Linked DNA regions of Tamandua tetradactyla. The protein of the gene in region 2 interacts with the protein of the main gene of each other region in a pairwise test. Links are inferred from orthologs where the notes say so. Each region holds a gene or a part of one and is shown on either strand. Other genes may lie near its edges. The genes, in order: interferon-induced GTP-binding protein Mx1-like, SUMO1 and HNRNPC.

The links.
Region 1: the proteins of SUMO1 (region 2) and interferon-induced GTP-binding protein Mx1-like interact in a two-hybrid assay, tested with the Homo sapiens proteins (2 studies listed by BioGRID). The link is inferred for Tamandua tetradactyla from reciprocal best matches to the Homo sapiens genes SUMO1 and MX1.
Region 3: the proteins of SUMO1 (region 2) and HNRNPC interact in binary tests that used the Homo sapiens proteins (3 or more experiments, as listed by UniProt). The two-hybrid records come from large-scale screens. The link is inferred for Tamandua tetradactyla from reciprocal best matches to the Homo sapiens genes SUMO1 and HNRNPC.

The regions. Positions count from the first base shown.
Region 1 is NC_135336.1:98,729,208-98,732,957, forward strand, and holds the start of interferon-induced GTP-binding protein Mx1-like, read left to right. Parts: upstream 1-1,066; 5' UTR 1,067-1,111; exon of another isoform or gene 1,112-1,216; intron 1,217-2,665; 5' UTR 2,666-2,744; intron 2,745-3,750.
Region 2 is NC_135329.1:176,909,863-176,913,612, reverse strand, and holds the start of SUMO1 (small ubiquitin-related modifier 1), read left to right. Parts: upstream 1-1,320; 5' UTR 1,321-1,473; coding exon of another isoform or gene 1,474-1,485; intron 1,486-3,750. UniProt on the Homo sapiens protein: Ubiquitin-like protein that can be covalently attached to proteins as a monomer or a lysine-linked polymer.
Region 3 is NC_135340.1:35,253,536-35,257,285, forward strand, and holds the start of HNRNPC (heterogeneous nuclear ribonucleoproteins C1/C2), read left to right. Parts: upstream 1-961; 5' UTR 962-1,122; intron 1,123-1,757; 5' UTR 1,758-1,803; intron 1,804-3,750. UniProt on the Homo sapiens protein: Binds pre-mRNA and nucleates the assembly of 40S hnRNP particles. Interacts with poly-U tracts in the 3'-UTR or 5'-UTR of mRNA and modulates the stability and the level of translation of bound mRNA molecules. Single HNRNPC tetramers bind 230-240 nucleotides.

The DNA.
Region 1 (3,750 bases), on a different chromosome or scaffold from region 2:
GAGGGTATGTGCATGGGGTGGGGTGGGATGAGCTAAGGATAGGGGTGCCATTAAAGGATCTTTTCACAGAGAATGTTCCAGAACCCCTGCTGCTTCTGGAATGATCCCACTGAGCCATTAGCAGGAATTTAAGACATCCAATTGTAAATGCATGTGTTCTGGAAGACCAAGCACTAATGGGAACTCCAAGACCAAGGCTGGTTCCAGGGGTCCTGGTTGCACTAACTCCAGGCTATTCAGGCAGCGGTTCAAGTTCAGCACAGAGCTACCATGTGGCCCGCAATCCCGCTCCTGGGTACACACTCCAAAGAGTTGAAAGCAGGGCTTCTAACAGACACTTGTCCACACCACAGCATCATTCACAATAGCCGCAAGGAAGAAACAACCCAAGTGTCCATCAACAGAAGAATGGATAAAAGCAATGTGGCATATACATGCAGTGGAATCTTATTCAGCCTTAAAAATGAATGCAATTCTGATACTTGGAACAACGTGGATGAGCCTTTGGAAACGTTATGCTCAGTGAAATAACACAAAAGGACAAATGTTGTATGATGCTACTCTTATGAAATATCTAGAATAGGCACATTCATAGTGGTATAAAGCAGACAAAGTTTCCAGGGACTGGGGGCCAAAATTTCTGTTTTGGGTGATGAAAAGATTTTAATAAGGGAAAATGTGATGGTAGCCCAACATTGTAGATGTAAGTAATGCCACTGTGTGCAGCACGTAAAAATTACTGAAATGGCAATTTTTATATTATATATATATAAAACAAAAAATTGCTGGGCGGGGCTCCAGAGTTCCTGATTCAGCTGATCTGAACTGGGGGAGAGATTTTGCATTTCCCGCAAGCTCCCAGGGAGGGTGCTGCTGCGGGCCGGGGCCCCGCTTGGCGAACGCCTGTGTTACTGAGCTGAGAGGCGTTCCGGAGGCAGAGCGCGCTGCGGGGTGAGTTTCGTTTGCTGCACCCGGTAGGCAGGCTCAGTGTGGGGAGTTTCGTTTTCTCGCGGCCGGGCCGGGAGGGGGAGGACGGGGCGGGGCCGGCCGCCGCACATAAAGGCGCAGGCGGAGCGAGAACGCGGGTGTCACGGCGACAGCGCGGGGACCGGTGAGTGTCGCGCAGCTCCGGGCCGGGCTTGGGGACCACCGAGAGAGGCGTTTGTCCGGCAGGTTGCAGAATCTCCGCACCCTAGGCATTTCCCGAGGTTAGCAGGTGAGATCTTTACGGACTCTGAAGGTGGGGTCCTGAATCCTAATTCCCGTCCCTGCTCCTTTCTGGGATCAGGGCCTGGACGCCCCGGCCCCATCCCTATCGCACCCCCAGGGACGGCGGGGCCTGAGCAGTGCGGACCTGCCCTGGGCGTGAATGGAGAGAGCCCGCTGCCCCTGGGCTCCGTCTCCCCTCCCTGATTTTAGGAGTGAGACAACGACCCCATCCCATCTTCAAGGCACTGTAACTCTTCCCATGGGTTAAGTAAGGATCTGACCAAAGGGTTGGGTTGGGGGGGGGGCGCGGTGGGGGGTGTTGGGTGTGGGAATGGGATGCAGTCATGAGGAAACATGGAGGAATACCTGCTTGGTAAGACTTCGGCCCTTCTGGGCGGCCACATGCATCCCCCACCATTCATAACTGCCCCCAGGCTAAAGGAGATGCTGCCACAGTGGCCCGAGCTCAGGTCCACGAGAGCTAGAAAGAGAGCGGAGCAGGGTGGGCTGATTCCCCTGCAGTCATGTGTGCACACAGAGGGCTGTGCCAAGGGTTTTCTGAGAGGTTTGGGGCTGAGAGCTTAGGGGTTGCCCTAGCTTGACTCCTCCAAGGCCAGAATTGAGAATCCTCTCTGTTCACTCTTACAAGCCAAGGCCCCATCTGGCTGGATGCCGAGTGTAATGAATGAGCAGCAAGCTAGTTTTAATGACTGAGATTGCCAGGTTTCTGCAATCCAAACTGATTTTCAAAGTTGATCCAAGAAAGGCACAAACATTTAAGTTTTAGATAAAACCCACAAGATCTTGCTTTCAGGGAATCTCACTTTCTGAAACAAATGGAGAAAGAAATATGCTAATAAAGCTCTCTTTTAGCTGATCAAGTTGAACCAAGGTCATGTGGGTAGAAAGCTCAGGTGACCCTGTGACATCACCACCCAGTGAGGTCACCTGAGCAGCCCACCTCAGAAGGTATGGCACTCCAGAGAGGCAGATGAAGCAGAGTCTCCAGCAAGGGGCCTGGAACCCCCCTGGCACCAGAAGTGTTTCCAAAGGCATGGAGGGTCTTGGGGAATCAATTTCCAGATTGTCTTTTCCACAAGTACACTTCAAAATTGATTGCTGTTCATGATTGCCCTTTTCCCACCTTACAAGGAAGTGCATCTCTCTGTCCCCTTCCAAACTGAAGAGGTGCTGTCCTGGAGGCAGGTAAACCTCAAAGTGCCACAGAGGGGCAGTTTTAAATTTTGATGTCTGTGATATGTCCTTAAATTGAGGCAGCATAAACTGGAACAGGGCTTCGAGATTTTCCTGATTGATACATACTTCTAAGCATCTTTCTCAGTGGTGGGAATGTCTCTTGGGGACATTCCCCAAGGGACAAAATATTCCCCAAATGAAAAAATACTTTCGTTTATTTGCCTGCGTCTTCTAATTTATATATTTTGCATGATTTCAGGGAGGTTAGGAGAACAGTTCTGCATTTCCATCTGACTAATCAACCTTACATCCTCAAGTAAAAGAAGCGTGTATCAGAGGTAAGTTAGTGCTTTATTTTTTTTAAATTTTTATTAATAAAACCAAACATCCAACATGAACATTCTTAATGTATGAACTTTCCATACTTGGTGTGCAAGCAGTGGCTCACAATATCATCTCATAGTTGTATATTCATCACCATGATCATTTCTAAGAACATTTACATCAGTCCAGAAAAAGAAATAAAAAGAAAAAACTCACATATACCAAACCCCTTGCCGAGGCCTCCCTTTCTCTGACCACTAGTATTTCCCTCTACCCAATTTATTTTAACACTTGTTCACCGTATTATTTATTTTAATTCCTATTTTTTACTCATCTGTCCATACCATAGATAAAAGGAGCATCAGAACAAGGTTTTTACAATCACACAGTCACTTTGTGAAAGCTGCATCATTCATTATACAATCATCTTCAAGAAACATGGCTACTGGAACACAGCTCTACAGTTTCAGGCACTTCCCTCTAGACTCTCTAATACACCTTAAACTAAAAAAGGGGTTATCTATATAATGCGTAAGAATAACCTCCAGGATAACCTCTCAACTCTATTTGAAATCTTTCAGCCACTGACACTTTATTTTGTCTCATTTCTCTCTTCCCCCTTTCAGTTGAGAAGGTTTTCTCAATCTCTTGTTGCTGAGTCCCAGCTCATTCTAGGATTTCTGTCCCACATTGCCAGGAAGGTTTATACCCCTGGGAGTCATGTCCCATGTAGAGAGGCGGAGGGCAGTGAGTTTGCTTGCCATGTTGGCTGAGAGAGAGAGGCCACATCTGAGCAACAAAAGAGGTTCTCTGGGGGCGACTCGTAGGCCTAATTTTAGGTAGGCTTAGCCTATTCTTTGCAGGGATAAGTTTCATATGAACAAACCCCCAGGTTTGTTATAGGGTTCGGCCTATTGATTTGGTTATCCTCACTGCTTGCGAGAATATCAGAGTGCTTTATTTTTTTAATAGGTTTTATTTCAACTCATAGTAGAGACATTTTCACTGACTTTTGTCCAG
Region 2 (3,750 bases):
GGTTCCAACTCTTGCACATCCTTGTTATCATTTGATACTGACTCTCTTTTTTATTATAGTAGTACTGTTGTGTGTGAAGTGGTATCTCACTGTGGTTTGATTTGCATTTCTCTGGTGCTTATTGATCACTTGTATATGTTTGGAGAAATGTTTAATCAGACCCTTTCTCATTTTTAAATTAATTTTAAATTGTCTTTTTGTTGTTGAGCCATAGCTGTTCCTTATATATTCTGGATATTAGACTCCCATTAATGATTTGCAAATATTTTCTCCCATTCTTTCGGCTGTTTTTTTTACTATTTTGATACTGTTCTTTGAAGCACAAAGTTTTTAAATTCTGATGAAGTTCAATTTATCTATTTTTCTTTGCTTGTGCTTTTAGTGTCACATCTAAGAAATTTTTGCCTAATCCGAAGTCACTAAGATTTATGCCTATGTTTGTTTTCTTCTAAGAGTTTTATAGTTTTAGCTACTATATTTAGGCCTTCGGTCTATTTTATTTTTTGTAAGGCATGGCGTACTGGTTCAATTTCATTCTTTTGCAGGTAGATATCCAGTTGTTCCAACACAATTTGTTGAAAAGACTATCCTTTTACCATTGAATTGTCTTGGTATTCTTGCTGAAAAACGAATTGACTGTTAATATGAGTGCTTAATGATTTATTTCTGGATTCTCAGTTTTATTCCATACCTTCCAACTTACGTTAGTAAAGGCACTGAAAATTTATTTTTTTTTTTAGGGTCAATATGTTTTAAAGAAGAAATCATGGAAGGATAATTCTTTAACTCAAAGCAAGGAATTCAAGGATGAGGGTTCCCCCTAAGCTCAGAATTTTTACCAGTGTTCTTTTCATCTGTAGTCATTAAGATTGTGCCCAATGGTATATATATATTTAATCCAGGTCATGCATTTAGCCAAGGACTGCTTAGTAAAAAAATATCATTTCGAGTGTGAAAGAAATAATATTCGATCCAAAACATTTATGGAGCGTTTGTGACGCGTAAGACCCAGAGGAGACAAAGAAGTATCAGCTATGGGCTCGGTCTTCAGAAATTTGCTAAGTGTCAGGAAGAGAGGAGTTTGGGTTGTCAATATCTTCCCAGACACTGAAACTGGGGGCTGGGAACTCTTCCGCTGGAAAACAGACCCGGGGTTGAGGGGTAGGACCAACCTCTCGGAGGAACTGGAGAGATAAATTAAATCACCAGCGCAACAAAGTGTAAGGTAGTTCCAGCCCTTTCCCGGGTACTCCCGCCCCCATCCCTCCCCAACCCGTTTTCCCGCCTCGCCTTTTCCCTCCTCCCTTCCCTTCCTCCCTGCACGTAGCGGAAGTGACGCGGGGCGTAGCGGAAGTCCCTCCAGCGGCGGTGTTGTGCTGTTGGGAAGAGAGACGAATTTGTAAACCCCGGAGCGAGGTTCTGCTTGCCCCCGGTCGCTGCTGTGCGGAGACCCCGGGGTGAAGGCACGTCACCATGTCTGACCAGGTACGGACAGGGAACCATTTGACGGCAGTGGCCCGGGCCGCACCCGGCAGGTTCGCTTACCGCTCGGTTGCGGCCCGGGATGAAGGCGCGGGGGAGGGGAGCGCGAAATGGGGGAGGGGGAGGTCGGTGGGGACTGGTCCCGCGAAGGTGAAGAGCAGAGTAGGGCCAGAGCCGCCAGGGTACGCGTTGTTCGTCCGGGAACCGCCCCGCCCCTCTCTCGGTTTGCCCATCACCCCCGGTGCCTCTCGTTGTGGCCTCCCTCATGTCGTCTCTCTTCTTCCTCCGGGGTCTGCCAGGTGCAAAGTCCAGCTTCCACCTCTCTGAAAGGGCTCTGGCGGGGAACCGTCTGTCTCCCTTTCCAGATGACTACCGAAGCAGAGCCCTAAGGCCCCAGTTATGTAACGGGAAGAATCCGTGATTGGGAGGCTCAGTGGCACTGAAAAGCGGGTGGACTGCACTTTTGATTTCCTGGCTTGGGATGATCTGGAGTGGGGGGCGGGGAGGAGGAGCGGGGCGGAGAGGGAGACATTGTTTAGTGCTGCTGGGAACTAAGAATGCGCTGCCCTGCGTTCGGATGATTGCAGCTAGGACTGAGCTCCCGCTTCTCTGCTCTGGATCCTTTCCCGTGGGGGGTGTAGAGCTGTCTCTCTTTTCTTGTACTTTCCCATTTCTTACGCGGGATTGGTTCAGCAACTCACCAGTTGTAACAGAGCACTCAGAAAAACTATGACACAAAGTGGAACAAAACTGCCAGAGCAACCAAAAAAACTTTAATCAGGGCATCAACCCGGAGATGACTGATATCTCTGAGAAAAAGGATAGGAAAACTTAGTGTTTGAAAAGCAGTTGCAGAACATTTTTAGAAAACTCTTTATGGCAGTGTGCTTCCTTGCTAGTTTTTTTGTTTAACTTTTTGTTTTGAGACAATTTTAGATTCTCAGGAAAGTGCCTTAACATTAACATCCAGCGTATGGATGTTAACATCCAAACATAGCTAGTTTTTAATTGATAAGGTTTTGGCTGGTCTTCATTTTGTTTGCTCAGATGACTTTGACTTTTTAAAGTATTTTTCAACTTTTTGCTTTAATGATAGTTGTGTAGAAAATTTTCAGTGAATTTCCTGATGCTCTTGAACATTTAACATTTGACACACTCGTTCCATTTACTTTTTGTTTCATTTTTAATGCAGTTTTGTATCATTAGGTGAAAGCAGGAGAGGCTTTTGCAGCTTTGTACTACTGTACAAGATTTAGACTTACACTTTAAGAAATTAACAATAATTTAGGTTAGTTTTGAATGGATTTTCTTATTAATAGTTTAGATTTAATTCCCAAGTTGATATGGGAATGGCATTTTAAGTATCTCCCTGGATAGTTGTTTACTTGGTTACCAGGGAAGAAAGAACAGGTGTAAATGCTTAGTTTCATCATCCTTTTATTTTGATGTTAGAAGTGGCTAGGAATCATGTCGAAATTTTCTGTAATAGTCTGATGAAAGAGTCATACACATAAATAATTATAAATTGTAGAATTTTTTGCTCCAATTTGAAGTTAGTTATTCAATACAGATATGGAGGAGAAACGAAGGATCCAATATACAAACTGGTGGCAATAGGCAGAGGTTCTTGAGACTCTTCAGAGGCTCCTCAGGGCCAAAACTTTTCATGACAATGCTAGGATGTTTTTGGTTGTTTTCACTCTTATTTTTTTTCCATGAGCGTTCAGTGGTATTTTCCAGAGACTATATGACCTGTGCTATCACTGCATATTGAAATGTAGGCACAGATGTGAGAATCCAGTTGCTTTTTATTAAGCCAGGCTTTAAGGAGATTTGCAGAATGTAAAAACATTGCCACATTTCACATTAATTTTGTTTTAAATAGTATTTTTTAAAATCTTTGTAAACATGTAATGGGTTTAGTGCTATTTTTAAATGAATAAATACTTTAAAAACTTCTTAGTTTCAGTTTCTAATACTATAAATCTTTATGGGTATAACCAACCTATGGAAAGCCTTATAGAGTTCTGAAGAGTTTTTAATACTGTGAAAGAGTCTTGAGACCAGAAAGTTAAAGAACTGTTCTAGACTAATTGACCAATATCATTATTAATAATGAGGACCCAGGACAAGTGAAACGTTGGGTGCTAAGGATTTAAAAAGGTGTAAAGCTGAGCCCTTACCATTAAGAAGCTTATAAGCCATTGCTTCTCAGCCTTTTGGCTAAGATCAAGCATAGAAGCTTATAACCCAGAGCAAGAGTCCTAG
Region 3 (3,750 bases), on a different chromosome or scaffold from region 2:
CATAAAGCATTTACATATTCATATGTCCCTTAAAAACTTACAGAAATGGAATCACAATATGTAAGAGTTCTGCACCTTACATTTTCCAGTTAATGGGAATAAGCCCTCTCCTTAACATATCCACATATAGCTCTCCCTCATTCTTAGTAAGGCTAGCTAGTTCTATTCCATCTGTATAGTATTCCGGGCTAGCATTTTATACTTCCTTGTTTGATATATTGGAGAGGAATAGGAAGCCAGCTGAATTGGGTGGGATATGTGCTGTCTGAACAAGAGCTTGATGGCAGAGGAATGGGGAGGTGAAATTCGAGTCTGGAACTGAGGAAGGGATCTGGGGTTGGGGAAAAACTGCGGGTATGGTTAGTTTTCTATGTAGCTTAACATGGCCTAGTTATCACCGCTTTCTCCTCACTTTAATAAAAAAAATCTTTCTTTATCCATATAGCACAAAGGAAACGTCGCTTCGTGGTATACCTTCTCCCCCTGCCCAAGGCTAAGAAGACCGCTGCGAAAGGCGGAAGAGGGCCTAAGACTCGACCTTCGCGCCGGCAACTTAACAACGCCTCTTATCCCTCCTCACCCCCACGTCGCGGGAATTCCGAGATTTGGGCGGGCCTTCTCCAAGGGCTAGAAGGAGTAGAGATAGGGCACTACGGACGCCAATCAAATATGCCGGATACCCGGATGTGAAGCGGTGCGCGCGATACAAAGGCGAATTTTCACCCAGCGCTACGTCCGGTACATTGGCCAATAAGAATTCCTCAAGCAATAAGTGATAGGAGCAATAACCAGTTATAAGCTAGTTTCTTTCACGCATGTGGAAATTCTCTTACTTGGTCTAACCCATTGCTGATTTTAATTGGGCGAGATTGTGAAGAACAGTAGAGCTGACCTACAAGGAACGGGAGCGAGAAAGGGCGCAGCCAATAGAGAGGTTCCAAGAATGGGGCGGGGACTAGGCCTTCGCCTCGGCGGCGGAGGAGACTCAGGAGCCATTTTGTGGACGGACGGAGACTGTGCGGTTGCTACCGCGTTGCCGACCTCGAGCAGCAGTCGGCTTCTTCGCGTGGAATCTGGGAGTGGGAGATTCAGATTTGAATCCCTTCTCCCTCCCCCCTCCTGGTAAGTGGAGGGGGAGACAAGGAGAGGCACTGGGTTCTTCGGGGAGCGCGAGAGGGTGTGGGGAAAAAAGGCGAGGGAACCCTCTCGGCAGAGTAACCAGGCCCCCTTTTCTTTTATTTGCCTTGGGGAATTAGGTTTTGTGTGGGAGGGAGTGTTAGCGTTTTCAATCTCCGCGTGGATTTAATCTGGCGTTCTCTAGGCCTTGATCGTCGGAGAAAATACCTTTTTTCGTCTTGCTTACCTATGTTAACGGTTGGTTTCCTTTCATTTTTCTACGACCGTGAGGACTCCCAAGAGAATTGAAAGTGAAGCTCGAGATGTTCGTTAATATAGTTGAAGTTTATGTGGAGCTAATGTTTTCTGTTACCTCATTCTTTCACATTTAAAAATTGAGCAGTCGGGGAGTGGGTGCTTACCAAAGTGTTGTACCGCGAGCCTGTAAATTCTGAAACGTGCTGCAGGGCATGGAAATAATGAATACAGCAATAGACTTAGTATTCTGAATATTTATTATTTTACTTCTTTTTAGGCAAATGTGGACTTCGAAGTAGTAATTTTTTTATTTTAAAAAGAAAAATGTAACCTCACGTATTAACAATTAAAATTGCAGCTGACTTACTACTTTTTATCTGCAGGTTTCAAATCACTTGAAATATATAAGTTAGTGGAACTTTGCTTGAGGTAGGTATTAATATCTTTCTCAGACAAAAATCTGAGGCGTAAGAGTGTTGGATGCCAGAGTATGTTAAATCAGGACTGTTGAGGTATTTGACCACTAGGTCAGTCGAGTGGATTTACCTAGTTGTTTGAAAATAGTTGGTACCAGGCACTACGTTTGAATTTTTACAAGAACCTAGTTACAGAAACCACTGGCAGTTAACTGGAAAATTACCAAACTGCACTTGGAAAAGATAATTAGTTATGAGAGTTGCATTTTTTTATTAAGATTAACTGTCGACGACGACATACTTAAATTCGGTTTTTAAGATGTTTTGGTATTTATAAATTTTTGCTGTCCACCCAAACTTTTGTGACAAAAAAATGCCCAACTACACTTTATTATAGTGCCTACTATTTGCTAGATACTGAAACTTAAAAATTTTCTGAGTTAGTAAAACTTGAAATGGCTAATTTATCCTTGTGTAAGATTGAGCTAATTATATTTTTTACAGTGTGTAAATCTCAAATACGAATGCTGTGTTAAGCAAAGTTTAAACCAGTAATGAAGAGTAAGAAGTTCATCCTCCAAGAAACCTAATTTTTAGACGGTAAAAGTAGGCATATTCTAGATGGCTATGTATTTGCTCGTTCTTCACTATGTAGATACTGTAAATCCTGTAATGGGCTCTGCAGTATCAAAAGTATTTCCTGTTTTTTTTTTTTTTTTTTTTTTTAACGTAGGCAGGCAGTGGGAATCGAACCTGGGTCTCTTGCATGGCAGGTGAGAACTTTGCCACTGAGCCACCATTGCCTGCCCTCTTTTTTTTTTGAAGGCCTAAAATGTATATTGTGTATGGGCTTTTTAAAAGTAAAGCTCATCACGCAGCTGAACTGTCAGAAATAAGATAAAAGCAAGTGATAATTAATTTAGGCAATCATCTAGTTGGTAAAAGTATTGTTGGCAATTGACTGTGAGGCATTACTTTTATTTATTTATTTTTTGTATGGGAGGCACCGTGAATCGAACCCGGGTCTCTGGCATGGCTTGCCGAGAACTCTGCCTGCTGAGCCACCATGGCCCGCCCCTGAGGCATTAATTTTTAATACTTAAGAAGGGTTATTATTGAGAACCGAAATTCTTGTGTAGTTGTCGAAATTTCGAGGTGTTAGAGATATGGCCTCATTAACATCAGCATGTCACAAATTTCCTGAGTTAACATCCGTCAGAAACTCTGTCCACAAAATTAATACCTGAAACAATTCTAGCTGTGTTTTCAAGAGGTAGGCTTTAGTAACATTTTCATGTTGGGCTAGAGAGGAAGGGTTTAAGAGGAAAGACAAACTTTTTTGTGTTTGCCATGCTGTGTCATTCTCAGGAATACTTTGGTGGTGGTTGCTATTCTTTGTGTAGAGAATTCAAATATAGCTTATAGTGTAATTACATTTCTAGGTTTAACATAGCGTGTGATCTTGTTTTGGATGGAATTGCTGTTAGAAACAAACCAAGAATAAATTCCAGTGAAGCTGTTTCTAATCCTAAAGACACATTAACTGTTGAATGTGAGAAGGATTGATTACCTGGGGAGTATAACAGTTGCAAAATCTTGGCCTAAGAGTTAGAACCAAATCCCATCCCATCCCATCCCCCCCTCCCCCGCTTGTTACCTGTGTTATTTTGGGTAAATCACTTTTCATTTTCTGCATTTTAGTTTTGTATCTGTAAAATCAGGGGTCTTGGACTTGTTTTAATTTCTAGTTTGTCATTTGCCAAAGGTTAAAAGGTGTACGGGAATAGTTTTATTGTTGATAGCTGTTTTGGAAATTAGCAGTTGTTTAGATAGAACTGCCTTAATAACTGCAGTTACTATGCTAAGTGATTTCTTGGATTTATTATAGTGTATGGAAATATACTCAAACCTACTTCTGACACAGTCCACTGGAAGGATTAGGCACTTTGTTTAAAGAATT